Linked DNA regions of Caenorhabditis elegans. The protein of the gene in region 3 purifies or fractionates together with the protein of the main gene of each other region. This does not show direct contact. Each region holds a gene or a part of one and is shown on either strand. Other genes may lie near its edges. The genes, in order: gta-1, got-2.2, K12C11.1 and alh-10.

Evidence for each region.
Region 1: the proteins of K12C11.1 (region 3) and gta-1 fractionate together in Caenorhabditis elegans (co-fractionation; one large-scale study listed by BioGRID). This does not show direct contact.
Region 2: the proteins of K12C11.1 (region 3) and got-2.2 fractionate together in Caenorhabditis elegans (co-fractionation; one large-scale study listed by BioGRID). This does not show direct contact.
Region 4: the proteins of K12C11.1 (region 3) and alh-10 fractionate together in Caenorhabditis elegans (co-fractionation; one large-scale study listed by BioGRID). This does not show direct contact.

The regions. Positions count from the first base shown.
Region 1 is NC_003282.8:10,178,055-10,186,233, reverse strand, and holds gta-1 (putative 4-aminobutyrate aminotransferase, mitochondrial), read right to left. Parts: upstream 5,575-8,179; 5' UTR 5,567-5,574; coding exon 5,527-5,566; intron 5,071-5,526; coding exon 4,961-5,070; intron 4,277-4,960; coding exon 4,207-4,276; intron 4,165-4,206; coding exon 4,067-4,164; intron 3,743-4,066; coding exon 3,404-3,742; intron 3,357-3,403; coding exon 2,694-3,356; intron 2,609-2,693; coding exon 2,477-2,608; 3' UTR 2,295-2,476; downstream 1-2,294. Other genes in the region: ptrg-1 (Tyrosine-protein phosphatase 4), read left to right, coding at 1-44, 96-367, 487-621, 665-945, 996-1,131, 1,184-1,330, 1,382-1,850, 2,041-2,174 and 1 more; mspn-1 (Mitochondrial sorting homolog), read right to left, coding at 6,293-6,448, 7,250-7,691, 7,746-7,920, 7,966-8,086, 8,130-8,179.
Region 2 is NC_003284.9:6,239,141-6,245,599, reverse strand, and holds got-2.2 (Aspartate aminotransferase), read right to left. Parts: upstream 4,618-6,459; 5' UTR 4,597-4,617; coding exon 4,341-4,596; intron 4,291-4,340; coding exon 3,742-4,290; intron 3,524-3,741; coding exon 3,084-3,523; 3' UTR 2,891-3,083; downstream 1-2,890.
Region 3 is NC_003279.8:1,340,772-1,349,267, forward strand, and holds K12C11.1 (Xaa-Pro dipeptidase), read right to left. Parts: upstream 3,922-8,496; coding exon 3,262-3,921; intron 1,956-3,261; coding exon 1,401-1,955; intron 866-1,400; coding exon 584-865; 3' UTR 501-583; downstream 1-500. Other genes in the region: smo-1 (Small ubiquitin-related modifier), read left to right, coding at 54-154, 205-313; Y92H12BL.1 (Threonylcarbamoyladenosine tRNA methylthiotransferase), read left to right, coding at 7,847-7,969.
Region 4 is NC_003284.9:7,137,399-7,145,419, reverse strand, and holds alh-10 (Aldehyde dehydrogenase domain-containing protein), read left to right. Parts: upstream 1-1,778; 5' UTR 1,779-1,842; coding exon 1,843-2,075; intron 2,076-2,735; coding exon 2,736-2,864; intron 2,865-2,908; coding exon 2,909-3,086; intron 3,087-3,129; coding exon 3,130-3,476; intron 3,477-3,745; coding exon 3,746-3,854; intron 3,855-3,894; coding exon 3,895-4,050; intron 4,051-4,097; coding exon 4,098-4,208; intron 4,209-4,254; coding exon 4,255-4,383; intron 4,384-4,718; coding exon 4,719-4,847; 3' UTR 4,848-4,916; downstream 4,917-8,021. Other genes in the region: Laminin-like protein lam-2, read left to right, coding at 1-120, 172-353, 403-486; clec-86 (C-type lectin domain-containing protein), read right to left, coding at 4,926-5,218, 5,266-5,384, 5,431-5,519; ist-1 (IRS-type PTB domain-containing protein), read right to left, coding at 6,150-6,447, 6,499-6,643, 7,554-8,021.

The DNA.
Region 1 (8,179 bases), on a different chromosome or scaffold from region 3:
GGAAAAGTGTGTCTATTTAGAAGAAATTAGTCCTTTAGTTTACGGTAAGCCGGAAATTTTAATACTTCTAAAAAAACCCATGGAATTAAATTCAGATTCCGCTGGTCAAGAAGATATACCGGTTGAATTGTTCTATGGATACGTCGAAGATCTCAATAGAAACGATTCATTAAAGTTCAAAACACAGTTTCAAATTCTCGAATCTCAAACATCTGGAATAGATTCAGTGGATTCTGGAGAGTCGAATTCCTCTTCTGATGAGAATTCACAGAAGAATAGGTACAATAATATTGGGGCCATAGAAGCGACCAGGATACGTCTCAATTCTCCAACTGGAAATGATTATATCAATGCCAACTATGTTGATGTAAGTTTTTGAAATAAAAAAGTTCGTTTGCAAAAAGCAAGAAAACTTTGTCTTCGAGTATTTCCAAATTCCTTTGAAACTTCATTTTCAGTCAAAAACTTTCAAGTTAATTATTCCAGTCATGCAATGAACGTAATGCCTACATCGCAACACAAGCTCCACTTCCATCCACATTTTCCGATTTCTGGAGTATGATTTGGCAAGAACGGAGCAATATTATTGTATGCATCACAAATATGGTTGAAGATGGAAAGGTAACTTATATAAATTTTGACTTTTAAACATCTCAAATTTCAGAGAAAATGCGATCAATACTGGCCATCACAACAGGATTCTCCGCAAACTTTTGGAAATTATCAGGTCACTTTGGTATCAGAATCTACAAATGCCCACTTTTCTCATCGAATATTGGATTTGAAAATTGCAAAAGCAGTGCCAGCTGTTGAACGGAAAGTCCATCAGCTTCACTTTATGGGATGGCCGGATCATGGAGTTCCTTCGTCTGTTTTCCCACTTTTAAGCTTTGTTCATTACACTTCCGATATTCATTCCACCGGACCCGTTGTAGTTCATTGCAGGTATGTTATTCTGAAATCCGAGAATTTTAGTTTTAATTTTATATTTTCAGCGCCGGAGTTGGTAGATCTGGTTCATATATCCTTGTTGATAGCATGAGAAGGCATTTGATTAGTTTCCGAAGACTCAATGTTCAAGGACATTTGACACATATGAGAAGACAAAGAGCGAAATTGGTGCAGACTTTGGTAAGAATATCTACTTTCTTTGAAATCTTAGTATCAAAACTTCTGATTTCAGGAGCAATATATTTTCTGCCACGAAGCTATCCGGCAATTGATTCGTCACGGAATCACACGAGTTCATTCAGACCTTTTTATGAGATACCTGCATTACTTATCCGAAGAAAATTTGAACGGAAAAACAAGAATGCAGTTGCAATTTGAGGTTTGTATTAGATATTTTTCTAACTCCTCTCAACTTTAGTATTTATTCAAGGATATCTGTGATTGCAAACATCAACCTCGATGTCTAATTGAATCAGACGTCATAACACTCCCAGGATACCATAGATCTGATGAATTCATGGTCGGATCATGGGGTAATGAATGTGAAGATCTTTGGAGATTAACATGGCAACAAAAAGTTCAAACAATTGTGATTCTAAACCAACGAGACTCGTTTTGGAGAAAACTTCCCAGTTGTATATACGATGGTGAAATTCAACTTCAACACGGAGATAACTTTGTCCTGCTCCAAAAAGATGATCAACAACTGTGTGTTCGAATTGTGAATGTGTCAAGAGCAGATTTGGATACTGATTTTTGGAGGGAAATTGAAAATGTTCAAAAACAGAGGATCACTTATCATGATGCTCCATTGCTTATTCTGGCTCATAAATACCCACCAAGTGTTCCATCACCAACAGATAGTACTTCTACATTATCACTTTCTATTTTGTTTAATGGTGAGTATAGCTTGATATCTATCAATATTTTTGGTTCAAAAAAATTTTGTAACACAAATTTGGAGTTTATAAAAACCCCTTTGGTTCTAGTTTAAAAATGGTAGTGTGCGTAGAAACGTACATACTATGATCTGTAAATACTTTAAACTTTAATTATATTATATTTATAACAAAATTGATGAATATTCAGATGATACAGCACTTGCATTCAGTATTTGTGCAGCCACAACTTTAGCGTGTCAACTGGAGACAACGGGTTGTGTTGACGTGGTACAGGTTCTTTCATCGTATACCGAAATTCAGTGTGGTATTTTTGCCTCGAAGGTGAAAATCGAATTATCTCATTTTCCAATACCAAATTATTTTGTTTTCAGCAAGAAATCGAGATAATCTATGAAAAGATGTCACAGCTAGTCGGAGGAACACGTGTCTAAAAATTTATAAATTCAATTGGAATCGATCCGAAGTATAACTTCCCGAGAAGAAACAATAAAAAATCAATTTCCGGTGTCATTATAAATGAATATTTAATTTATTAATTATATTTTGAAATAATAACAAGCTAGATGGTCAGCGAAGCAAATAAAATGGATACAGCTTTAAAGAGAAAACAAAAGAAAAAATGATTACAATCCCTTCAAAGTCTTGTCGAGAAGATCGAAAGTCAGATCCAAATGTTTTTTGGTGTAGACGAGTGATGGACGGAAACGAAGTGAACGGTCTCCACATCCTCCACAGTGAAGTCCGTTGCTGATGGCCTAAAATTAAATTGAAGTTTAAGAAATTTAATATATAAATGTAAGATGGCTGAATTTGACATTTATCACTATTAATTCTGCTTACCAAGTCAACAAATTTGTCTCTCAAAGATCCAGATGGGAAGTCAACGGCGGCAAAAGTTCCTCTTCCTCTGGCTTGATCCAACTTTCCTCCAGACGATGCTTGAAGTTCTCCAAGTCTCTTTTGGAATTCAGCTCCAACTTCTCTGCTCTGCTCAATCAATCCATCTCTCTTAATAACCTCAACAGCCTTTTCCAAAAGAAGAAGCTTGGTCGGATCTCCCATCCATGTGTTGTAAATACGGTAAGCCTCCTTAACTCGGAGATGTTCTCCGTAGAAGTATCCTCCTGTCAAAAGTTTCTTTGAGAATGTGACCATATCTGGTGGAGAGCTCAAGTTCCAGTGATCATGAGCCCAGATATCTCCAGTTGCTCCACCTCCAGTTTGAACTTCATCAACAATGAATACAATTCCATGTTTAGAAGTAATATCACGGAGGCCTTGGAAGAATGCTGGACTTCCATAATGATCTCCACCTTCTGCTTGAATTGGTTCAACAATAATTGCAGCTACATCATTATCACGACGTTTCCATTCGGAAATCTTCGCTTCAACGTCAGCAAGACACTCCTGATCTTGCTTCTTATTGTATGCAACATTCTGGTCAAGTGGATACTTATAACGGGGGAACTTGGCAATTGGCCAGTCAAATGCTGGAATATCAACCTGAAAATAATTAATTAGAATTGTTTCGAAATAAAACTTTGAAATACCTTATGAATTGGCTTACTTCTGGTAACCGACAACATGCACAAAGATCTTCCATGGAAAGCTCCTTCAAATCCCATAACTGAAAGATTTGGAGTTCCTGGTTTCTGTTGATTCATGCAGCTTTCCAAATGAAGAGCATCTGGTCCAAGACCTCCTCTTCTCTGAGCTTGATACCAGATAAATGCAGTTTTGATTGCATTCTCGTTGGCCGATGTACCGCAAAGCATTGTTTGAACTGCCTTCAATCCTTTTGGAGCAATTGATGTAAGAGCATGAGAAATTCCATCAGCAAAGTCGGTACGTGGGAAGGATCCAAGAGCTGGACGAGAAACAAGAGATGTCTGAAAATTTATTTTCTAATACATTTCTCAACTTTTCAGTAAGTATCTTGTTTTCTTTAGTTTTATCCAAATATTACAGACAGGCAAATCACTTAATATTTAATTTTTTACTGGTTTCTAGGTGTACGGTTAATGTGAAAATATGGTCATTATGTGCCTTCCTCCTGCCTGCCTGACTGCCTACCGCCTAATTTCTGTATTTGTGCCTGAATGCGGATGCGGCGTAAAACATTTTCATGCGTACATGGAAGGCTAAGTTCGAATGCTCCAATTGATTGTAAGAGGTTCAAAAATTGATTTTGAAATCAATTTATAAAAACTCACAATCAAATGTGGCTGCGAAGCGACCTTAACCAAATCTGGATGATTGTATCCCAAAGGAAGAGATGATATTTGAGTATAGACATCGAGAAGTGCATTTCCTAAATTAAATCCTGGTGTGTAAACTGAAAATAAAAACTAACCATCAGCATCTACAACGTAATTTCCGAATGATTTCTCGTAGTCGACATGGAAACGAACGGATGTAGTTTGCTGAAAAAAAATTTTTTTAATTTTTATAAAATTTTGAAATCTCATATTGCATTTGGAATGATTCATATGTTTCATAACTACAGTATTTTTGACAATATGTATAAAATTTAAATTTCCTTGAAATATTATTTTATTTTTTGTATTATCAATGAAATTGAAGATTTGAAATTAAAAAAACTAAAATCAAATAATCAAAACTCCTGAATGTCAGTTGTCAGTTGACCAGAGAAAGTGTAATATTTCTGAGACGAATTTCATTCGTTCTGTGATAAGGGTAAGAATGTGATGTTCATGTAATTACGGAGTTGAGATGTTGGTTTTTGATTTGAAAATTGAACTGAATGGCTCGAAATTCTTCGCAATTGTGTGACCATTAAATAGCTAATAATGTTTTGTAATCTAAAATTATAATTTATCTATCTTATAATTCTTAATAATTTAGAATCAAATTGACAATGTTGAGCTTCTGTTGAGCAAGTTGTCAGAAAGTTCAGCCAAAGTTTTTGTTTGAAAAGTAATTTCAAGCGATTTCGCCACTGAATAATTGTCAAAAACTAAAACCAATACATAATGAGCGTATAAGATTTAGAATAGATATAAAAAATAAGTTATCACAATTTGAAGGTATTTTAAGGTCCATGATGTTTAAAAAAACCATTTAACTTTCGATATCTCAATTCTTACATGAACTTTATCCATTTCCTGTTTCAACGCCTTTGACTTTGGTCCAGGAATGCTCGTTGAAATACTAGGTCCAGATGGCTCGGCATTTGCAATCGCCGAAACTCCACGCACTAAAATAAACGTTTCAATTGAGTCAGAGCATTTTTTGGAAACATTCTCATGGTGTTGAAGTGTTTTAGTATTTTTTTAAAATTTCAGAAAATTTTGTTTTTTTAATCTTCCAAATTGAAACATGTGGTGAATATCAAAATACCTGCCAATTTACCAAAACTTCGATTTTATCGTTCAGTTTTTCTGATCTTTTCCCTATTCGGTTTTACTCGAGAAAAATCAATTGCCTTCGTTAATGTTTGTGATACTGATAAACTGATAAGAGAATCAAAAAAGTGTTGTTTGTTTCTTTTTCAATGTGTTTTAGGTCAAAGATGCAAGTAAAAAGGGTTGAAAATGAATGTATCTAGAAGAACTAAAAAGCTGCAGGTTAGGTTTTTCAAAATCAAAAATTATATGTTAAATTATTTCCTAAATAAATCCCAGTTGAATCCAAAATATATTAATTGGTTTACCCTGTTGGATTAAAGATGACTTTGCCAGTCTGGGAAGCATTCTTCCTTCTGAAAAAAACTATTCAAATTATTCGAAAATCGATTTGAAAAAAACAAAGAGAAAGAAGAGTAAAATTTGAAGTGGCAGGAGAAAACCGAATAATTTTTTCTCCCGTTTTCTCTTTTTAGGCGTCAAACGAGACGCAGAGAAAGGCAGGGGGAGGAGCTTATGTTTTTTAGTGAAGGAAATAAATGCGTTTTCTAGTGAAAATTGTTTGAAGAAGTAAACTGAAAAATTGGAAGCCAATGGAAGACGTTTATATTGAGCCTGTGAATGGTGTAAACTTGCTCCACGTTGTGCAAAGAAAAAGGCTCGCAGAGCACGAAGGGTGTAATCGGAAGGACAACTGACACAAAGAGATGGGGTCACGTGATCGATTTATTGTTTCTTCAGATTCTGGAGATATCGACAAGTGAAAGAAAAGAGAAAAAGAGAATACAATCTAACCGGTAATCTAAACGTACTTATTAAATCAATGCAATACATAAGAATAGGGAAGTAAAAAATCAGGAATCAGAAATATTAGTTTTTGAATCTGTTCTAGAAGCTCCGGGGAATAAAAAAAAAGATTTTCGATTTTAAGTCAAAGCACCGTTACATTTCTTTAGCTTTATACTACAAAAAGGTATAATAAATTGAGACCTACAAGAACGAATGGACTACTTTTAGAGAAAAAGAAATAGAAGTTTACATGAAATAAAACATTCGTTTCTTGAACTTTTAAGACTAATCAAGTGTTTCTTCAACAAGTAAATGTGCGGCTCTCATATATTTATGCACTGCTGACTCAAAATCGGACTGTTCCAATGGAAGAAGTTGATTTACGGAACCTCCAGAAGCTACAGTAGCTTTTGCTCGAGCGAGAAGAGCAAGACGACAAACCTGAAAAATTACATAACAACACGATTATTGGCGTTTCATTTTCCTGTAACATAAAAACTTAAAATTTTCGAACGCGTATTATTTTTTAAGCTAATTATTGTGTATCTAACTTCTAAATATTTTTAGATGATTTTGGAAGAAGTTGAAATAATTTAAATGAGTTTTTTTAAAATTAAATTCAAAATTGTAAGTTTTTTCAAGCTCACTATTAGAACAACTTGTATTAAATATATACAATTCTCTTCACTAATGTTTTTATTTGTATTTTTTTTTCCTTTAAGGTTACTGTAGACAATTATATTACATTTTATCATATTACAAATTACATTTTTCCTTTAAAATCCAATGCATTTTTCACATTAGAAACATGAATTAATTGTGAAACAGCAATTTATTCTCATGAAGCTCGCAAAACTTTGCGATTTCTGCCCCAAATATTCTCGACACGAAATTTTATGTTAACTATGAAAAGGTGTGTACCTTTAAAGAGTACTGTAATTTCAAACTCTCGTTGTTGCAAAAGTTTAATCGAGTTTTCGTAGTTTTCAATAAAAACACATATACTTATTTGCTGTTTCACTATTAATTCATGTTAAAAATGTATTGGATTTTATAGGAAATCCAAGATATATTATTGTCTACAATTTTTCATGTTGAACAGATTTATATTAAATATTTCGTTACCGAATTCCACTAGAATATATGTGACATATATAGCCACAAAGCGAACTAATAATATTACGACCATTTCGGGGATGTAATATATTTGATTAAAATTTTAAAAAGAAAAAAAGCACGAACCTCTTTCAAATCACTTCCACTAAGACCTTCTGCTGCCTGTGCGATTTCTCCGAGATTTACAGTATTATTGATCTTTTCATTCCTGAGAATCACATTAAGAATCTGACTTCTTTGCTTGGCATTTGGTACTGGAACTTGGAATCTTGCAGTCATTCTGCGTAGAATAGCAGCATCAACGTCTCGTGGACGATTTGTAGCTCCCATAACAATGATTTGATCTCCAGAACTAGAAAATCCATCCCATAATGTCATGAATTGTGCCTTCATCATTGCTGTTGATTCGTGATCATGAGATTGTCTGTCTCGGAGGAACGAATCAATTTCATCAATGAAAATAATTGTTGGTTGAAACTTTTGAGCAACAGAGAAAACAGCGGCCGCAAGTTTTTGAGACTCTCCGTACCATTTATCAGTTAGGTTTGACACTTGAAGATTGATAAATCTGAAAGGTAGCAATATTTAAAACAGGTCAATTCTGCATTTATGAATAACTAACCGGCATCCAGCTGCCCTTGCAACTGCTTTCGCTAAAAGAGTTTTTCCACATCCGGGTGGTCCATAAAGAAGAATTCCACGTGGAGGAGACAATAAATGACTTCCACTTTGCGATGCGAATCTCAAGGGTAAAATAATGCGATCCTTTAGTTCAGCAACAAGTTCTTCGCAGCCACCTGTAAAATTTTTCTTTTTTTTTGCGAAACAATTTTCTGTTCTACCGATCTCATCCCAATCTGCTCCAACGTCTTCTCCGCCAACAAACTGCGTGGCGATTCTAATTTCGTGCTCTGAGAGTTCTATTTGACGATCGATACCAAGTTCATGAAACAGCTGTGCCACCTGTATATTAAAAAAACAAAATTAGTGTTGTAAATCTACAAACCTTCTTTTTGCTTTCTTCATTCACACTATAATTTGGATCCAAGTACTTGA
Region 2 (6,459 bases), on a different chromosome or scaffold from region 3:
TTTATTCCTTCTTGAATAAAATAATTTGAAGTCGGATTGAAATGAAAAAGGGATTAGAAAGCTTTACATTCCATATGAAAATTTTATTTTTTATGTCTTTTTTTCATTTTTAATGAGATATTTGAAACTAAATGTAACAAAGGTTGGTTATCATTGGTGGAAAAATGAATACAAACGACATAAAAAGACAATGTAAATGTATCTAGCCCAAAATGTATGCAATATTTTATTAAGTTTTATGAGCGGAATATGAGTATTTTACGGTCATAAAAGTAGATGAAAATGATTCTGAAATAACTCTCCAACTTATGCTATAATTAATTAAGGAATAAAATGTATTGTATCAATTTGCTACTTTGATAGCTAAAATTGACACAATATGCTTCTGTTCGAAAGTTTTTGGAAGATTCAGCAATACGAAGTCTGTAAAAACATTTCAAATTAATTTTAAACTACTTTGTTAATTTACAAATTTTCCCACATCGTTATTCGGGATGATGTACCAATTGAAAAATTGAGTACTTGAAACCTTCGACTAAATTTTGTAGTAATCTTTATAGATATTTTGATTTCAATTTTTTGTATGATCTATACATTTTCCATACTCTATTATTTTTTTAACAGTTTTCCAGTTGAGACTTAAGTCTTTCTAAGTTCTTTCAAAATGGGAAAACTAGTTGAGCATCTTTGGTAACGCCGAACTATTGCTATTTTTTTAAAAGTTATTAGTTCAGATACATAATTTCGAAACACCATGATTCATTTCCAGTGCTGTACAAATTGAAAATGCGTCAGAACTGTGTACAAAAATAGGGACTCATACAGAAAAATGTATCTATAATTTGAATCATATCTATTCCGGGCTTGCAATGGATCTCCGATGTACTATACAATTCAGAAATTATGAGATCTATTTTCGGAAAGTGTTGATTTCATAATTTGTACAGCAGCCTGTTGATTATTATTTTGCCGGTTTTTCGTTTTTGCTTCATAAACCGACAATGGAAAAACCGAGCCACAATGTGTGCACACAGCTCCAAACGATTGATGTGTGTGTCGTCAAAAAACATGAGTCAATGAGCCGAGCAGTAAATAAGTGAAGCTGCTCAAATAACTGTACATCACTTTCGTAATCCTGAATTCAATTGAATTGATGATTTACGCTTGGATATTTGGTACACGTCAGATAACAAATTTTGCAGAAAAAAAAACTCCCATTGTTCTATGAGACAATATGGGGGATTTTGAATTTCAAACGGGACTGCAGTTTCTGTAAAGAAAAAGAAAACAAAGGAGCAGCAATTCGCATCAAAAACAAACAAACTGACCAACGGTGAAAAATACTCTCGATTTACAAAAATAGGGGATCGGTTGAAGAACGTTTTAAATTGAAGTATAGTTATTCAAATCTGGTAGATCACCCATGCTCACCCATGAATTATTTATGAAAAATCATTAGTTCGGTTATTATTATGCTCATTATTGTAAAACTGCATAAACGACCAAAGTTGATGCTTCCAAAAAAATACAAGTGAATGTTCAGGTAATTGTGAGCACAGTTTGCACGAGTGATTTGTAAATTATCAACACGTTTTCTTTAATATCGTCATCGGAAACAAGATAGTATTATAAAAATCATTCATGGTAATTTTTATTTTCACACGGCAGGCTGGGTGTTGTTCAACTGAATATGTCTAAACATGGCAATGAACTTGTTTTCGTCAAGTTGTGTCTTCAAGCTTATCTCTCAAATATAAATCCCCAATACCGCCTGAGATGTTCATAGTCTTAGAACATCAAACTCAGGTTTTAATGTATATGCCTCAAGCTTCAGGCTGCAGTCTAAAGTTTTACAGTCTTGATAGACCAGCGTAATTTTTGCCCATTCGGAAATGTTTCACCGAAGCCTTTTTGGGACTTTTGAATGCAGCAAGAACTGGAGGAATCAAATAGAATCAAACAGATTTTCTTGTTACTGAGGGAACCTGTTTTCTCAAATTATGCTTTTTGTTTTTTTTTTTTTTAATTTAATTATGCAGCCCAAGCTGCTTGGCGTCATCGGTAGAGGCCCGCCATTGGATGGTTGTCGGCTTGATTCGGCGGCCGATATAGATGCGCTCATTAACAACTTCGAGTTGAGATATAATGGAGGATCCATTAACGTAGGAAGTACTGGACTCTGAAAATTCATTGCGCGAGGCTTGCCCATTTTCTCAGCTTATCCCACTTATCGTCTTGAAATCTACTGGAACCAATTTCGTATATATTATTTGAGCAGTTGACTGGAAGTAAGTTGTTGATTTGCGACGAGCTAAATACCATCTGAAAATTCACGGCTAGTTTGAGTTCTGTCCAGGTATGATTTTGTAATCTTTGGTTTCAGTTTTTATAAGGCATTTTGAAAACAAGCTGAAATAATTTTTGAAAAAAAAATAGATTTTCTAACCAATTTATTTTGACCCATGACCGTGACTTGAATTTGCAGAATTAAATACCAGAACTCTACGCCCATGTTTCAGAAAACCACACCGATGCGTTTATCTGAAGTCGAAAAGTTTCTGAAAATTTTGTTAAATAATTATGTATTTAACTCTCTAATGTATTTAACATAATTTGATTTTATAAAAATACTTTGTCTTTTTCCTCGAAAATCTTATGGTTTCAGAGAACTCAAAATATGTGCGTGTTATACCATTCATTGTAAGCACACTTCCAACTAAATAAATTTAAATTTGAAAGTGATATTAATTTTTTTTAATTTTTCGTTTTCAGAAAACTGACAATTATATTTCTTTCAAAACAGTTAGAAACACAACGTTTCAGAATCGAATAATTGAATTAACGTAATTGCTAAACAAATATCGTGCATATCATTTTTCAATAACCAACTCCAGTAAAGATTAAGGTCGAAACCCAATTTATTAAAAGTTCCCATTCTCAGAAAAAAAACAGGCTACAAATAAAAATGAGATAAAGCATACTGCCATTCTACAACCGGAGAATAAGAAAACCGAAAACGAGAAAATTATTCTATTATGACAGATAGAATAAGTTAAAATGGGAAGAGTGCATTTGTCACTGATTTACTTGGTGACTTGGTGGAGAGCGTGGGCAAGGTAAGCGACATTGTTCGATGAAATTCCCGCCACCGAGATACGTCCGTCCTTGGTGAGGTAGACAGAGTGTTCCTTGATAAGCTTCTCAACTTGTTGTGGGTTGATTCCAGTAAAGCAGAACATTCCAATTTGGTTGGTAATGTGCTCCCAATTACGAGTAGATCCCTCCTTGGCGAGCAAATCCTTGAGCGTAGTTCTCATGGTGATGATACGATCAGCCATGAGCTTGACATCTCCGAGCCATTGCTTGTTGAGAGCTGGATCCGCGAGGATGCGGGAAGCAATGCGAGCTCCATGGACTGGTGGGTTGGAGTAGAGTGGGCGAATAAGGATCTTGACTTGAGAAGCAACACGAGCAGCCTCATCAGCGTCCGAGGTAACAACGGAGAAAGCACCGACTCGTTCACCTTAAACAGAATAAATTATAAAAATTATGCAGTATTCAGGGTTAGGGCTACAAAAGGGTAGAAAAGATAGGATAATGCGACACCAGTGATATCCGCGTTATCATGGCCTAACTTCCAACACCAAGAAGAAACTGCGCTCTATTGCACAAAAACAATACATTTCGTATTGAACTCCAGCTTGTAAAATTCAAATTTAACAAATTAGTATGTAAACTCACCATAAAGTCCCATGTTCTTGGCAAAGGATTGAGAGAGAACAATGTTGTGTCCTTGCTCGACAAAGTAACGAACAGCGAACGCGTCATTGTCAACATCTCCGGAAGCGAAACCTTGGTAAGCCATATCGAAGAAGACAAACAAGTTGCGTTTCTTCACAATGTCGGAGATCTTCTTCCACTGGTCACGGGATGGATCAACTCCAGTTGGGTTGTGAGCACAAGCGTGAAGCAAGATTGTGGATCCTTCCGGGATTTGAGCAATGTCAGCGAGTGCTCCAGTTTCATCAAAACCACAGGTGGACTTGTCATAATAGCGGTATTGCTTGACATCGACTCCGGCAAATTTGAAGATTGGAACATGGTTTCCCCAAGTTGGTGTTGGCTGGTAGATAACCTTGGTCTTGGCGTACTTAGAAAGGAACTCAGATCCGATTCTAAGGGCTCCAGTTCCAGAAATGCTCTGAGTGGTGAAGATTCTCTTGTTCTTGATCACATCAGAGTTCTCTCCAAGAGCGAGTTGAGCAGAGAGCTTGGTGAACTCGGGAAGTCCTGCAAACAAATAAAGAGTTCAAATGGATCAATAAGTTTATAACACTCACCAACAATTCCGGCGTACTCCTTATCAAGATTGGCAGCGATCACTTGACGTTCAGCTTCCTTGACCGATGGGAGAACAAATGGCTTTCCTTGATCGTCACGGTAAGCTCCGACTCCAAGGTTGATCTTCTTTGGGTTTGAATCGGCTTTGAAGGCCTCGGTGACTCCAAGAATCGCATCTGGTGGTCCCATCTCAACATGCGACCACCACGACTTTCCTCGCACGGCGGTAGAGAAAAGCTTCTTGGAAACGCTCATTGTTGATTGGAGAAAGATTACCTGAATATTCAATATTAATGTTTCGAGTGGGAACTTAAAAGACGTTTTGAAAGTAGGCGTGGAAATCACGTTCCGATTAGAATGAAGCAACGAAACATTGATAGCAGGGAAGACTAGAGTACGTACAACGCATGATTCCTTATCCGAAGAAACAAAAATAAAATAAAACGTGGGTATCATTATCTTTACCAGGACAATTATTTGAGTGTTCAATGGTGTTTGAATGGGCTGATTGGACACTTTTTTTAAATTCAAAAAAGATACCCTAGGACACTCCATTCAGGGTACTAACCACATTTCTAGCCTTTAGCAACGGCGTGGCATCAAACTAGGCTAAAATTGTAGTTAAACTTATTGACTCTATCAAAAACAACTGATGTGAAACAACAAAATGGACCGACTGCACCGCCTATGAAAGAATGGACGCGTCTGCTCATCTTATCCCAGTCCACGAACTGGCAAGGAAGACGACAAGTGAGAAGAACTGGAGAAACTAGGTTAGAGAGTACGGAGATTCGAGAGAGTGTAGGGTGGCAGAGGAAAACTCGGGCGGCCGCGGCAACGTGAGAAACATGCGGTTCGACGATTCAGTCGTTTTTGTGTAACTCGGCGCTCGAGAACTGGTAAACAGTAAGTAAACTGCGTTCGAAAAAAAATATAAGAAAATCGCCGTACTTCGGTCGTGAAATTATTTGTTTAAATAATATAATTTTTTAAACTTTTCTATTAGCAGCACCGTGTTCGCAAAAAAAAATCTCAAAGAATTTTTGATGAACGGAAAAAAAGCGACTAATGACTGTAAAAAGGCAAGGAAAAACTGAGGCCAACAAGATAAATGAAAAAAAATTTGGTTGTTGTTGTGGTTCGTCACTCTCAAAGGTTCGATATTGTCCGCGCGCGGCCGGAGAACACAGGTTGGTAGGTCAAAAGTGCTGGTGGCACACGGATATTGGAAGTCTTAAAATTCAAGATGGTGTCTTACTTCAAAAATTGAATTTGGGATAGCAAAAAAAAATAAATTTAAAGTACAGAAAAAATATAAAACATAGAAAAAAGTTAATGAAAAATGGTTTTTATATTAACGTTTGGACGTTTGGAAAACCGCTCAAAATTGTGTGAAGAATTTCGGATATATTCTGGAAAGGAATCCACCAAAGTGTTGGAGTTTTTTCCCGTCATTTTCAAAGATTAGGACAATTTTTGAGTTTTTTTTTCGATTGTTCCAAATAAAAGGAAAATGATTTTCAGATAAAGCAACCAGTTTTCTATAATCTTTAACTAAGGTATAATTTTTATTTTTTGTTGAATTGCTTGTCGGAAATTATAGCGCATCCACGGTCGATAAAATAAAATGTAAATTGTAAGATGGTTTAAAAAATTTTTCTAACATCTGGAAACAAAAACGTTTACAACTGAACTGCCTGTGAGTATAGTGTTATCATTTTGGATTACCTCTTGTGAGCAAACTTCAATACATTCAATTCTGATAAACAAAACCTAGCACACGTCACACTAACCTGTAGTGTTCAGATAGAGTTTTTTGAAAATTACTTTTAGATTGTCGCCCGAATTTTGTGTAATTCACTTTGTGTTACAAATTTACAAATTGTTCAACATTTGTGTGACTTTCACGTGGACATCCGTAAACATTTTGAGTCCTTTGTTTCTCTCAATTTTTCTCTCGATTTGAGTGCAAAATGATTTTTGCGATAAATATGAAAGAAACTCCAAATTTTGCCTAGCCTAGAGAAAAGGATCTATTGTCTCCGGGAGGTTTCGTATCGCGGAATCGAGACCGGCCTAGAACAGGATCTGTTGTCGGGAAGAGATGAGATTTCTAGG
Region 3 (8,496 bases):
ATTTGACTGGAAATTCGCCGCGAATTTGTTAATAATTCCCAAAAAAATTGCAGGACAGCAACGAAGTGCACTTCCGTGTAAAGTATGGAACCTCTATGGCCAAGCTGAAGAAGTCGTACGCTGACAGAACCGGTGTCGCCGTCAACAGTCTTCGGTGAGTTTTGGAAATCCGCGCCAATTCCTATCAACTTTAAATATTTGCAGTTTCCTCTTCGACGGACGTCGCATCAACGACGATGACACACCGAAGACGCTCGAGATGGAGGACGATGACGTCATCGAGGTCTACCAAGAGCAGCTGGGCGGATTCTAGTCCTCTACCTACACTCTAATCCGAAAACAAACACCCATCCATCCCTTTTCCACTGAGATACTCGGTTTCTCTGTCTCATTTAATCTATTTTCCACATTTCGAATCATATTATACAACCAAAAAAGTTTAAAATAACTTATTTATCTTACAAATAAACTCTTCGTTTTCGGAAAATCCCAAATTTTTAAAAATTAAATTTTATTTTACATGAAAAAATAACACAGTAATAGTAGTAGGAATGATGATAAATTAGAATCAGTAGACAAAAAATCACTTGGACAAGAAATCAGAGACACGAGATTCGATGACCTTCTCCGTCCATTCGCCTCCACTAGCCATGAAGTTCTCGATCTCCTCGACGGTTCGTGGAAGATCGCTCAGATTCTCGTTACCAGAAGCACGAATGATGACGTCATCCTCGATACGGACGCCGCCTGATCCGCGGTACTTGTCGATTTCGGATTTGACGAGGAATTCGCTCTTTTTCGGGTCGGCGAGCGCCTCGTTGAGCAGGAAATCAATGAAATAGCAGCCGGGTTCGATGGTGATTGCCTGGAAGATATCGATTTTTACGTGAAAATTCGGAAAAATTGAGGTTTTCTGGATTTTCCAGCTCCGCGGGGCTAATTTTTCTACTTTTCGATAAAATTTCGGCATTTTGCATGCTTTAACAGCTCAAAACTCAAAAAATTATCGATTTTTCCGAAAAATTTACTCCCGTGGGACAGTTTTGACTGAAAAAGTCAGCTTTTCCACAATTTTTACGGTTGCAGAGCTCTGCCGCCTCGATTTTCACGAAAATTATCGATATTTCCGAAAATTTTAATGCTTTGGAACCATTTTTACTGAAAAAGTCAATTTTTTCCAATTTTAACGGGTTGCAGATCTCTGACACCTGGATTTCTGCGAAAATTATCGATTTTTCCGAAAAATTTACTCCCGTGGGACAGTTTTGACTAAAAAAGTCAGCTTTTCCACAATTTTTACGGGTTGCAGGGCTCTGCCAACTCGATTTCTGCGAAAATTATCGATTTTTCCGAAAATCTACTGTTTTGGGACTGTTTTGACGGGTTGCAGAGCTATTCACCATTCTCTCCATCAGCGTTCTCGTCGTTCTGAGGCTCTTGAGCCCGGGAAGCGTTGATCTCGGCGTCGCATCACCCATATATCCTCCACAATCGTGCACATCCAACCCGATCAAGTGTCCCAATCCATGAGGCATGAAGACCGCGCCTACACGTGCCTCCACAGCCTTATCAATGTCGCCGACGATGAGCCCAGCCTGCTTGAGATGCTCCAGAATCACTTTTTCCGACAAAATGTGCATATCCGTCCAGCGAACGCCCGGTTTTGCCGCTTTCAAGACGGCAAGATTGGCGGCGAGCACAGCGTTGTACACGATTTTCTGTTTTTCGGTGAATTTTCCGTTTGACGGGAATGAGGTGGTGATGTCTGATGCGTAGCAGTTGTATTCGGGTCCCATATCGAAAAGGCACATGTCGCCGTCCTTGATGAACTTGTCGTTTGGAGCATTCGCGTGGCCGTAGTGAAGCACTGAGCCGTTGCAGCCGGTGGCGGCGATGCAGGTGTAGGCGAGATGTCGGCAGCCTCCGTGGTAGTAGGATGTGTGACGGAACAGACTCTGGAATTCACGCTTTGGTTATTGAGCATCTCTGTCCCAGTTTAAAGGCACACGATGTTTTTCTGGGGGAGGGGGGGGGGGGGGGGGGGGGGGGTCTCGCCACGATCTGAGCCAAATTTTTAAGATTTGTTATAATTTAAAGTTTTGTTCACGAGGAGTACACTAGCACGTCGGTGTCTCAGAGTGTCTCGTTTCGGCTTGATCTACGTTGATCTACAAAAAATGCGGGAGAAAAAGAGACGCGCAGAGTTCTCAACTGATTTTGCATCATGGTTGGGCAAAAAATTCCCGCATTGCCTGGCATCTGGCACACAAATTTGACCCGCCAGTTTAAAGGCACACGCTGTTTTTCTAGGAAGAGGGGGGTCTCGTCACGATCTCAGCCAAATTTTATGTCGATTTGTTACTTTAAACTAGAAAACTTATCACGAAACAGGAAAATATTGATTAATAGTCATTTTCAGCCAAAATTTTGAAATTTACGATGAAAAAACCGGAATTTTTGGTCATTTTCAGTCAAATATCTCACTTTTGGCAGAAATTTTTTTTTCAACAATTTCACACCAAAAATCTGGTTATCTGGTTTTTTTAAAGCCATTTTCAGTAAGAAGTCTAAATTTTTTGCACAATTTCGTCGAAAATATAGATTTTTCACATATTTTCAGCCAAAAACGTCTAATTTACCACCACCAAAACTGGAAAATATTGATTTTTTGGTCACTTTTTATCCAAAAAAAAAAAACATTAATTTTGGTCATTTTTAGCCATTTCACACACTTTTTTGTCGAAAATCTACATTTTTCGATCATTTCAAGCAAAAAACCGATTTTTTTTTTGGATTTTTTCAGGCGCTTTTAGTCAAAATTCTTTATATTCTGCAAAATAACTCAATTTTTTGCATATTTTCAGCCAAAATCCTCAAATTTACGGTTAGAAGTATAATTTTTTCGAGAAAAACCTCCATTTTCTGGTTATTTTAAGCCAAAAATTCCAATTTTTCGAGAAAAAACCCTAAATAATATTTTCATGGTTTTAAGTCAAAAATCTCGATTTTTAAGCAATTTTCAGTGAGAAATCTTAATTTTTTGCACAATTTCGTCGAAAATATAGATTTTTTTGGTTATTTTCCTGTTAGAAAAATCGAAATTGTCCCATATTTTCAGCCAAAAACCTCAAATTTTGGATTTTCTGGTTATTTTTAGCCAAAAATTCCAATTTTTCGCGAAAAAACCCGATATTTTCATGGTTTTAAGTCAAAAACCTCGGTTTTCTGCACATTTTCAGTTAAAAAAAACCGATCAATTACCTCCAGCTGATACTCATAGAGCCCTGGCCGCATGTGCTTCATCGCGGCTCGGTGAGCTTCCGACGCGATTTTACTAGCATATCTCATCACACCAATCTCCTTCTCCGTCTTGACAACTCTCAGCTCGGCCATTTCCTTGTAGAGAAGCTCCGTGTCAAGCTGGAAATCTCCACTTCCAGCGAATTTCGGCTCGGCGAGCACATCTCCGGAATCAGTGTTCTCGGCTCTCAGCAAATAAACGTGTTTTGCAGACAATTCCTTCAATTTCTCAGCGATCGTCGTGGTTTTATCGTTGAATACCACCTCATCAACCGCATATTTCTCCTTGAAAAACTGCTCATTATTGATTTTTCCATCCCAAATCGCGTAGCTCGGGTCGAGGCGGGGAGCGAAAAGTGTCGTTTTTCCGCCGGACCTCACGTCAATTGCTCCGTAGAATTCGCTCTCGTTGACACCGAACGTCCAGAAGAAGTAGGATTCTTGACGGAATGGAAGATCAGCGGCATCTGTGTTGTAGCGATTCTTTTCGACGCCGCCTTGCAGAAGAACTACTGAATTAGCTGGAACCTTGGATTTAAGCGCGTCGACGAGGCGATGGCGATTTTCCGTGAAAAGGTCGACAGGGACTTTGAATGTTTTCTCGCTGAGCTGGAATGTCATCTGTAAAATTGGATTTGAATTGTTTGGTTTTATTAATTATTACTTGCAAAAAATTCAAAAAAAAAACGATTTTTGGACTTAAAACAAAATTGCGAAGGGTCGGAGCGTCCCATCTCGGCTTGATCTACGAAAAATGCGGCAATATTTTTCCAGAAAAATTGTGACGTCAGCACACGTTCTTAACCATGCGAAATCAGATGAGATGCCTGCGTCTTTTCTCCCGCACTTTTCGAAGATCAACGCAAAATGGGACTCATTTTGGTTTGATCTACGTAGTTCTACAAAAAATGCGGGAGATCTTAGACTGATTTTGCATGATTAGGAACGTGCTGACGTCACATTTTTTTCTGGGCGGCGAAAAATTCCCGCATTTTTTGTAGATCAAACCGTAATGGGACAGCCCCTGGCACCACGTGTAGTAGGCTTGGGTCTCGACACGATCGAAAATTTTTGCACAATTCAATTTCGCAGTAAAACTTTTTGAAAAAAGCAATTCAAAAATATCGAATATTAGATTTTATTCAAGAATCAAGAACTCGATAATGCGACTTAAAATTCAAAAATTCCAAGTTTTCTACAATATTCCGATCCAAAAAAATCGATTTCACTAGAAAATCGATTTTTTTTTTGCTCGGAAATCCACTAAGCCAAAAAATTAACAGTATTATTGCAAAAATCGATAGAAAACGATTTTTTTCCAACAAAATTGAAGTTTCTTTTAAAAAAAAGATGTTTTATACAATCACTTCTCAAAATATTGTTTATTTTTTGGTTTTCTGAGCGAAAAATTGAAAAATTCAATTTTCCCGTGCACCTCAATCAAATTACGCAGAAATATTACCCAGACGCAAAATTTTGCGATTTTCGTGCCAAAAACTACGGTATCCGGTCTCGACACGACAAATTTTTGTTAAATACGAAGAGGTGTGTGCGCTTTTAAAGATTACTGTAGTTATTGCAAAATAGACAAAAGTTTCAAAGTACAGTAATCTTTAAAGACGCACACACTTTAGCATTTAACAAAAATATTCGTCGCGTCGAGACCGGATTCAGTAGTTCTTAGCGCAAATATCGCAAATCTTTGCGCCTGGGTAATATTTCTGCAATATTTTTAGAAATTTTAATTTTTTGGACAAAAAAAATTATTTTTCTATCGATTTTTGCAATAATGCCGTTAATTTTTTAGTTTTAGTAGATTTCCGAGCAAAAAAAAATCGATTTTCTATTGAAATCGATTTTTTTGGACCGGAATATTGTAAAAAACTTGGAATTTTTGAATTTTAAGTTGCAATATCGATTTTTTAAAAAGCAAGTGCGGTTTTAGTGGATTTCTTCTAAAAAAAATACAAAAATTGTGAATAAAATTTGATTTTTCATAGGGAAAAATCAGTTTAATCAATTTATTTTTGGCTAGTGAGACCCGTGGATTTCTAAATATTTGAAAAAAATCTAAACTTTTTGAATAAAAAATTCAAAAATCTGGAATTTTTCAGTCCGAAAGCCCGCGAAAAATGTCAAGTGGAAAAGTAATGAAATGGAGGAGAGAATTGCTGATAAGCGCAGCAAGACCCGGCAACCATATATAAGATTATTATGCATTTATCAATATTATCGGCGATAAAATTGAATAAAAATCAAACATCGAACAAAAAAAATATGGGTTTTTATAATAAGACTCCTTTCTAGGGAAGAATGTGGGGGAAAATTCAGACAACCCAAGAAATTTTACCAATTGATTGGTGAAAACATGGGTCCTGCCACGAACCAACTTTTTCAGCTACAGTAACCCAAATTTCGGATTTTTTCGATTTTAAATAAAAAATTTGAAAGTATTTTTTTTGTAAAACATCTAATTTTTTTAATCCAAAAATGAGCGATTTTCTCACAGAAACTATGCTGAAAATTTACAAAAATATGAAAGAAAATCTCGAATTTTAATATTTTTTGCATTAAAAAAATCTCAATATTTGAGATTTTCAAAAAATAGTTTTTCGTAAATTTTCCAATTTTTCACTAAACAAAAATGATAAAAATTTGAAAAAAGTTTCGTTCGTGCCAGGACCATAAATCAGGTAAAAACAATAAAGCGGTGGTATGTAAGTACAGAAATGAAGAAGAATCAATCGTTTTTCAATTGATATGAGAGAAAAAAAAATACAAAGAAAAAGAATGGAACAAATAATGGTTTTTTGTGGGTTTCTACCAGTCACGAACACAGGTTTAAAAAAGCTAGAAAAAAAATTTTCTAAAAAAAAAAAAAGTGGTGTAGTCGAAATTTTTTAAATTGCTTTATTATACTCAAAATAGTCTGAAAACACCGAATTTCATAATGAAACTTCTTGAATACTTCAACTTCTCAAAAAAAAAGTTATGACGGCTCAAAAAAATAGGCTAAAATTAGTTAAAATTTGAAATTTGACCGACTTGTCAAGCGGCTGGAAACTATTTTTTTTTTCAAATAACCGTCAAACTTTAAAGGAGTATCATCAATGGGAAAATTGTTTTAAAATGTAGTATTTGTATTCAAACTTCCAATTATTGCAAAAGAAAAACGAAAAAAATCCGTTAACATTCAGCATTTAGCGGTTGAAATCGACGAAAGTGGCTGAATTTGAATTTCGCGCGCGCAAATGAATCCTAGGCCACCACGCGATTTCTAGGCCATACTCGTAAACAAAATGTTAATTTAAATGCAATTTTTTCGAACTTTATTCGCTTTTTTTTTCTCAAAAAGGTTGAGATAACTGGGAAGAAGGAATTGTATTGAGTATTTTTTCAAACGACAATGCCAAACCAAATACAAATTCGAATGATCGCCATGGCCTAGGATTTCTACAGTTAAACTTCAATGGTTTTTCGTTGATTTTTCTGAGTAAAATGCTGAATGTTAACGGATTTTTCCCGTTTTTCTTTTGCAATAATTGGAAGTTTGAGTACAAATACTACAATTCACTGCAACTTTTTCCTCACGAGGGACGAGGATAAGTGGTTTCTAGGCCATGGCCGAGAGGCCGACAAGTTTCAGCGGCCATTTATCTTGCTTTGTTTTCCGCCTGTTTTCTTTTGTTTTTCACAGCTTTTTTTCGTTTTTTCTTAATAAAACTGATAAATAAATACTTTTTGCAGATGCTAAAACAATTTCCAAGTAAATAAATTATGTATTCAGTGGGCAAGCAGCGGTGAAAGTGGTCAATGTAAAATGATGGATTACGGGAATACAAAACCTAAACTTTTTCTGAAACATGATACATATGCTGCTTAGATGCTGAAATTGCCTGATTTTCATAACGAGACCGCTGTAAAAGTTTTGAGGTTTTCAAAATTCAAACTTTTTTGTGCGAAAAGTTGGGTTTTTCACCAAAAAAGTTGAATTTTGAAAACCTCAAAACTTTTTCAGCGGTCTCGTTATGAAAATCAGGTAGTCTCAGCATTTAAGCATCATATGTATCATGTTTCAGAAAAAGTTTAGGTTTTGTATTCGCGTAATCCATCATATTACAATGCCCACTTTCACCGCTGCTTGCCCACTGAATACATTTTTTTTTTGACTTGGAAAATGTTTTAGCATCTGCAAAAAATATTTGTTTATCAGTTTTAATAAGAAAAAACGGGAAAAATCTGTGAAAAACAAAAGAAAACAGGCGGAAAACAAAGCAAGATAAATGACCGCTGAAACTTGTCGGCCCCTCGGCCATGGCCTAGAAACCACTTTTCCTCGTCCCTCGTGAAGAAAAAGTTGCAGTGTGACAAATTATGTTTTAAGTTGCAAATCAAAAAATGAAGAAAACCGCGAAAAAATCGTTCATTTTCAGAGCCCGAAACCGCACAAGTATGGGTACTGAATAGTTGTACAGTGAAGACACCATCCGAACAACAGGCCAATAATCTCGTTGTACAGGGTCAGGAACAGGGGAAAAAGATAATTATGGCTGGATGTGTGTCACAGGCGGCACCAAGTGAACCGTGGCTTCAGAATGTTTCGATTGTTGGTGTTAAGCAGATTGATCGAATTGTTGAAGTTGTTGGCGAGACGTTGAAGGGCAATAAGGTGAGAGAATTCAGATCAATTTAGGTGCATTATTTCTTTTTTTTTCAAAATTAAAGCTTTAACCATTTTTCCGGAATTTTGAACCTCTCAAAAACTTTTGAGCATTTTTAAAATTTTTTAATTCAAAACTTAATTTAAAACATTAAAGAATTGAATTTTTTAACTTCAAAACTGAAATTATTAGGAAAAAAAATTAAAATTAGCTTAGCTATAGCTTAAATTTTAATTTTTTTTAAGCTTTCTTAAACATATAATTTTTGGATTTTATTTTAAAATTTTTAGTCATAGCTCTCAAAATGTAATTTTTTGACGAGAAAAATATTCATTTTCAGAATAAATTTTATCGAAAAATAACCAAAATGTATTTTTTTTAAACCAAAAATCGAAATTTCGGCTATATTAAAACTTTTAATAGTTTTCCGTCATTTTTCGAGGCACCACGTTTCCAAGATCTAGTCGAAAACAAGATCTACGAGAAGAAGATCTACCAAAACAAGATCTACGTTTTTAGGTTCTGGCACCGCCGT
Region 4 (8,021 bases), on a different chromosome or scaffold from region 3:
ATAAGCAAATGGCTACTGAAGCGGTCCGCAAGGCAACTCTTGCCAAGAATTCTGCCATCGAAGCAAATGCTACCATTCTCGCTGAGGAAGATGAAATCAAGAAAATCATCAATTCTTTGGGTAAGAACACTATTTAGCTCAGTCAATTATTTAATGTCACTCATATTTCAGATACCATGGAAGAAGTGAACAACGCGGAGCTAGATGAGCTCGAGGAGGAAATTGACAGACTTGATCAATTGTTGGCTCAGGCACAACTTGCCAAGGAAGTTCCCACGTATCAGCAATACCGCGCTGACGAGGACGTAAAGGTGGCACAGCTCAAAAATGATATTTCTGAGCTCCAGAAGGAGGTTTGTTTTGCTGGCTATAGTATTCGTATAATTAAACTGTATTTTTCAGGTTTTGAACCTAGAGGAAATCCGTGACAACTTGCCAACCAAATGCTTCAATGTCATCAATTTGGAGCAAGAGGGACAGAAATAAGATAATCTTTATAATTTTTCTATCAAACTTTTTCTATGAAAATCGATCAGATAATTTATTAACTCTAATATTAAAATATCTGAAAAAGAGCCCTTAAAAATTATTAGGTCGGCAAATAATTATTGACGTGTTTTGCCAATTAACGATTTTTTGTAAATTTTATATGTGTCTCTTACAGTAAACCGAGAGTGTATAAAAGCATATGAATATCAGTTGCTTTGGTCATCTGAGTAGTAATACGATTCGAAAAAATCGAAAAGTTTTTTTTCCAATTTTTTGAGTTAGCCGTGAGAGTTGTAATGTTAATATCTAAATCAATTAAGTTCTGTTTGCTTAATGCAAAAAATGAATCCCAACCCAATTGAGCCATTCCATAAACTTAATAGTAAATCAAAGTCAAAAAGCAAACCGCACAAAAATACGATATTTTTTAGTTTTGATTAATTCTTGGAAATATTTTCTTCACAGCTAACTCAAAAAATCGCGAAAAGCATTTTTCAAAAAATTTTTGATTTTTTAGATTCTTAATACTACGCAGGTAGCCAAAGTAGCTGATATTTTTATGTTTTCATACATTCACATTTTACTATAAGACACACATACAAAATTTACAAAAATTGTTAATTGACAAAATACGTCAATAATTATTTGTCTACCTAATAAAATACGTTTAAATTGCTGATCGACTTCTATTATTAATTTACGTGTTGAGCCGGGATAATTATTTTTGTTCCCATAACTAATAATTTCCTCTTCCTGTCGCCTTATTGTCACATTACCCTCACCTTCCCCGGTGCCCAAACGCGTGCACAGCTTGATGAAATTTTGCAAAATTTTGTTAAGCATCTTCTGTTTTTTTGTCTTCTTTCCTATTATTTTGTGATAATGTTGAACTGTTCAACTATTCTAAATTATCACGCTAAACTATTTCCTTTATCAACGATTCTCTATTTAAAAAATATACCAAATTCATTTTTGTTATCCGAAATCTCATACCAAATTTTGCCACCAACACATCGATTTCCCCAACGCTTTCAGTTTCTTATTTGTTTTAATTAATATTTTTATAAACGTTCAATTTTAAAATTTTTTATGAAATTACGAAATACAGTTTAAGTTTTCAGAATATTTTCCAGACTACAAATATGACAACAATGTTATCTTTGTAGGCACACCATGGACAAACCATGCATCATAAGGTTTTTGCATTGCATACTGACCTTGAATAGATACTCGGTGTTGTTCGTGCCGATCGATGAGAACTATATAAGAGATGATGATATTGCAGAGATAGGAGAACATACCGAACAATTCTATTCATTCTACCAAAAACACAAGGTTCAAAATTGACTCAAAATGGCTTCTTTGAATTATCGCGAGGAGTTCAAAAATATTCTTCAAAAGCTTATCGATTCCCCCAATGAACAACACGACCCATTGACAAATTTTATTGGAAATGAATTTGCAAGATCGGAGAAATTAATGGACTCAGTTAATCCTTCGACTGGAAAACCTTGGATCAAAATACCAGACGGGACTGCGAGAGAAGTAGATCAAGCGGTTGAAGCCGCTAAAGAAGCGTTCAAAACGTAAGTTTTTGTGTTTAAATAAACCAAATATTGCTCAATTCTTAAAGCAGTGCAAAATAAATTATTTGAAACTATACCATTTTAACAACTAACAATTTTTCCCGGCTAAAAATTAATAGATCCATCGACCTTAAAATACCTACATAAATCTAGTTGAAAACACATGATAATTAACTTGTATACCCAAAATTAGACAGCGATTTTATAACAATTTGTTTCCAGCCTCTGCGACAATGCCACGTAGGTCGAATTTTAAATATTTACAAACTTTATGTCATTTTCTAAGCCGCCATAACTTTATTTTGAGAAGATTTGTAGAAGTTTAATGACTAAATTTGGTGTTTTCATAAAATTTTAAGTCTACTACAGCAATACAAAATTCTACTGCATCACCTTTAATTGTATGTGTATTTGTTAGTTTTTTACAAATTATATTCAAAACTGGAAATTTAAAATCAGATTTTCAAAGTTTTAATTGTCAGGTTTAGTTTTTATAAATATTTTTGAAGTTTGTACACCAGTTTTATCATGCAAATCTCCAAACTATTTCATGTCGCATTATTATGCAAATTTACGGAGAATCTGTATTGAAACTGTGTCCAACCCAAAAAAATCCTCGAACTACTCAAAAAATTAATTTTCAAATCAAAACATTTTCAGCTGGAAAAAAACAACAGTGCAGCAACGATCAGCACTTCTCAATAAAGTTGCTAATCTCATAGAGGAGTTTAACGATGATATCGCTATTTTGGAGAGCCGTGACCAAGGAAAGCCAATTGGACTGGCTAAGTGAGTGAACCTTTTTTGAAATAATAACTCCAATTCCTGTTTAGAGTGATGGATATTCCTCGTTGTGTGCAAAACTTTAGAGATTTTGCAAATGCTGCTCTTTACTCCCTATCAACTTCAACCATTCTCGAGCAACCTACAGGAAAATTTGTTAACTATGTGAAAAATGACCCTGTAGGTGTTGCTGGTCTTATTAGCCCATGGAACCTTCCCCTTTACTTGGTAAAATCGAACTTCGAAAAATATTTTTTACAACTGTTTTTAGCTTTCGTTCAAATTGGCTCCCGCATTGGTGGCTGGAAACACAGTAGTTTGTAAACCAAGTGAGATGACTAGTGTTACTGCATGGGTTTTAATGCATGCATTCAAACTAGTTGGATTTCCTCCTGGTGTCGTAAATATGGTGATTGGCGAAGGAAAAAGTGCTGGACAACGATTGGTTGATCATGTCGATGTTCCACTCATTAGTTTCACTGGGAGCACGGTAATAGGAAAGAAAATCCAAGAAGATGGTGCGAAGCTCAATAAAAAAGTGTCTCTGGAGATGGGAGGGAAGAATCCTGGAATAGTTTACTCTAATTACCGAAAGTCGGATATTGCTTCAATTGCAAGGTATTTGAAATTGTAACTGTTCTGTCTACTCTGCCCATCATGTGTAGATACCTAGTTTGAAATTTGAAAAAAACACAACTTTTTGTGCAAACACTGTGGTTCAAAGTAAGGATAATATGTTTATTAAAACTGATAAAACTAATTCTCGTCACGATGACAGTTGACGTAATTTGATGTTACCAAATCATCCTTTTTTATCTATACAAAATTTGTAACATAATGATATCACTTCCAAATAGGCACAAATTTGTAACTAGATAATGTTATAGGTCCTCATTTCTCAACCAAGGAGAAATTTGTCTCTGCACAAGTCGGCTTTTTGTGCAAAAACCAATTTTTGCTGACTTCGTTAAAAGTTATGTAGAAGAAGCTAAGAAGGTTTGCATTACATTTTTCAGTTCATTAATTCTAATTTTAGTTTACTGTGGGAGATCCAACTACTCAAGTTCAAATCGGAGCCATGAATTCAAAAGTGCACTACGAGAAAGTGAAAAGCTACATTGAGCTTGCCAAAAAAGAAGGCGCCGATATTCTTTGTGGAGGCGTGACGACCATTCAAAATGGGTGTGAGAATGTGAGTCAGATGTTATTAGTTAACCTTGCTAATCTTTGAAATTTTAGGGCTATTTTATTACACCTACAGTAATTGTTGGTTTGCATGACGCTTCGAAAGTTATGACAGATGAAATATTTGGTCCAGTTGTGTGCATCACGCCCTTCGACACAGCGGAGGTATGTTATGATGTTACAAGTTTTAAAGTATTTTCTGATAACACAGGAAGTAATTGAACGCGCAAACTCCACTCCCTATGGCTTGTCAGCAACAGTTTGGAGTTCAGATAGTGATGAATTGTTAAACACGGCCAACGAGCTGAGAGCCGGAACAGTTTGGTGCAACACTTGGCTGGTAAGATAATGGGAGATGATAATTCGAGTTGGGTGTGACCAAGTTCTAGTTAATTACGGACGATAAGAGCGGTATGTGTGGGTAGACAGACAACATGACGATTGACCAATTTGTTTTGCTTGGAATGATGTTCATGTAGCTACAGACCAAACTAAATTAATTGTAAATGTACCAAGAATCCATGAAAATCACCAAAAATAAAGAATGCTTTTAAAAAATTTATAGATATTCTGTGCTGCTTAATTGTTTCACTAAGCGTCACTAAAAACTACTTGGAACTTTTCCAATAGTTAATCAACTCTCGGTTTTAAATTATTCTCATGTTGAAAATTCAGGCTCGCGACCTGAGCATGCCGTTTGGTGGATGTAAGCAATCTGGAAATGGAAGAGAAGGTCTCCACGACTCACTCCACTTTTACTCCGATGCAAAAACTGTTTGTGTGAATATTGCTGCTAAGTACTAACTTATCATGAATCGCAACCGTTTATTGTAAAATCCAATTTAGCTCATAATATATAAATATTTTCTTTCGAATCAAAAGTTATTTAGAACAAGATGGACATGGTGGGCATGTGTACGATCCTCCAGTTGGATATGCTCCATTTGGATACTGGCACAGGAACTGATGCTTAACTGTGCACAAATCGGAAAACCATCTTCCTGTTGACAGTTGCATTGCTCCACAATGACGATCTTCAAGAGGCTGTCCAGGTCCGGGATTGGTGAAGTTCAAAACGCTCCCATCTGTCCATCTCCAGTCATTTGTATGTCCTTCGTCGCTTCCACCAATCCAGAACAAGTCATAGTCAGCATCTAGATTATCAACAGCTAGTTCTGAAATCAATGTATTTGGTTTAGAAATTCATATGTTCAAGACATACTTTGAATCCAGTTGTTTTCGATCATGCTGTGAATTGATACCAGACTTCCACCAACGGTTTTCAAGCAATGAGCATCGGAGTCATTGAATGTTCCATGTACTCGATTGTATGAAAAACAACTGAAAGATGTGATATTGAGACAATTTATAACAATAAATAACTTACTAAATCTCAAATGGAGTATCTCCAGGAAGACAATTTGGTGACACAAAACACAAAAGCGCGACAAGAGTAAAGAACAAAACACGAAGCATTTTCAGTGTCCAGTAAAATAATAAATTTTATCTGCTTATCACAGCTATTTATATACTCCATTTTAAGGCGTCTCCGTATTCTTCCCACAATATTATAAGCTTTTATCAGTGCTTTTTGCAGTTAAAATATTTAAAAAAATTAAACTCATAGATGAGACTGGAATGTTCATCTGTCTGTGTTATCATCGTTTGATGACTGATTTTGATAAGATTTGTTCCCCTCTAATCCCCAACTCGCACAATAACGCATTTCATTGAAAAATATCAAAAAGCGAGAATTAAATTCTCAGAAAAAGAAATGTGTGACAATTGAACTTTCAACGGCAATTTGTTGTTAGATCTCAAAAATAGAAGTACTCGGGACACAAATATTAAAACACAGTAAAACTTCCGACATGTGGTTGATGGAATGCAAACTAGGAAAAATTGTAACTAAAAATGAAATGAGTAGAGAAAGAGGTAATGAAGGAAAGGTTGAGATTGGAAAGTAGAAAAAGAGATGAAATGGGTCAATTTTTTGAGGTTTTGTGTAGGTGCTTAAAAACTTCTAGGTTACAAATTAGAATTTGGAAAACGTTTACTAAAGTATATAGACAAAATCTACTGTTTCACTTTTAGCCTTTAAAACAATTATTTTCTGAAGCTGAGAAATTTAAGTCTTCTGAACGGGCTCATGCTGCTGCCAGTCGATGCAGGTTTCCGAGTTACAGGGGCCGCGGTCGTCTTCCTGTCGGATGGTTCTCCCCTAGAATCGGTCTCAGATGCTTCTCCTTCTCTTTCTTCCATTATTGCTGTACAAATCGATGGTTTTCGATTTATCTCAATGCATGCTGAAGATCTTCTATTCGGGTCAATTGCACCAAGTGCTTTCGCTAGATCCGCAGTCACAACTTTTGTTTCAACGGTTTCCGTGATTCTTCTGGTCACTCTGCAAAAATGTGTCGTTTGAACTTGGGAGTATTAATTTGTGATCACTCACTTGTTATCTTCAATCGAAACTATTGTGCTTAACGAGGAGGAGGAGGAATTTGTTGTGTCTATGGCACCTTGCTCTTTTTTCCGTTTTTTGATATCTGCCAAGTACTTCAACCCTTCTTTGTCCATGTATGCAGAATCAGAAGAACCTTAATTTCAAACGATTCTATTTTATTCGACCTTAGTATGCCAGCTCTTCTTTAGTCTCCGGGTTTCAGTCTTGAAATTCATAAATTTTACTGACTTGATGTTACTTTTAATCGTTTTCTGATATTTCCTACCTAGTTTATATTTAAAAAAAAACAAATAATGGTACTATTTTTTGTTAAATTGATCAACAGTTTCAATCATTTTTTATTAGAATTTAGGCTTTTATAATTGAAAACTGTTAATATCCGAATCAAAATAACTATTCATAAATTAGTATATTAGTTTTTCATTACGAACGCCTTTGGTAGTTAGTATGGAGCTATGTGAATAGAATAAATACGAAACAGTTTATGTTGATGCATCTTGATTTTTTTTCCAAAGTTTTACAACAGCTAAAAAACACATTTAAAATCCTTAAAATACCATAATTCTTATCGATATAAGTAAACGTAATTGTGAAATTTCTGTGACACAAAATTTATAAAATCAAAAGTCAAAAGTGATTTCATTGTATTTTTCAGAATTATAACTTTGAGGTACACTGTAAAGACTGTACTACTGTAAAGTGGAGTACCGACAATGGGGATTTTTCTTGAATAAACTCAAAATATATCAGAGATACTATTTCAAAAAGTCCGAAATGCTGCAGATTTTTCAAACCCTTATTTAAAAAAAGTTGTTTTTTTTTTAATTTTTTAATGTTCGAACTCCTACAATGTTCAATATAGCCAATAAATAAAACACATATTCAGAAAATAATATTTTTAGGGAAACTTTCACACTTTTTGCGATTTTCAGCACTACCCCGTATGTCGTAACTTTATTTTACCAGCACCAGTATAAGTAGTGGGTTTCTTATTTCTGTAAAACTAGAACAAAACCAAGCAAATGTAACCTTTGAAAACATACCATCATTTTTGTGATCTTTCTTCCCAGAAAAACTTGAACTGGGCGTACAATCAGCAATTCCACTGTCCGCTTTTGGACGAAACTCCTTATCATGATCGTGGTCTTTATCCTTTTCTCTATCTTTCCCTCTTCCCTTCTCCAATTTTCTATCTTTCTTTGCTTGAATTTTCCGTTCCAACTCCCTCTTCTTTTCCGCTAATTCTCTCGCTTCCCATTCTTCTTTTCTTTTCAAATCCATTGCTGCTTTTTCTCGGTCTCGTCTATTATTATCTTCCTTTTCCCGTTTTTCTCTATCATAATCAAAGGACCCTCCTGGTCCTCCTCCACCAAAAGGAAATCGTTTTGTATCTGATGCAGAATTTTTACCTAATCTTGAAAAGTCAATTGAGATCAGATCCTCGTCCGATCTTCTTTTCGGTGAACTGGTTCGCTGGGTGTGTAGACTTTTTGGACTACTTCTTGCGGACC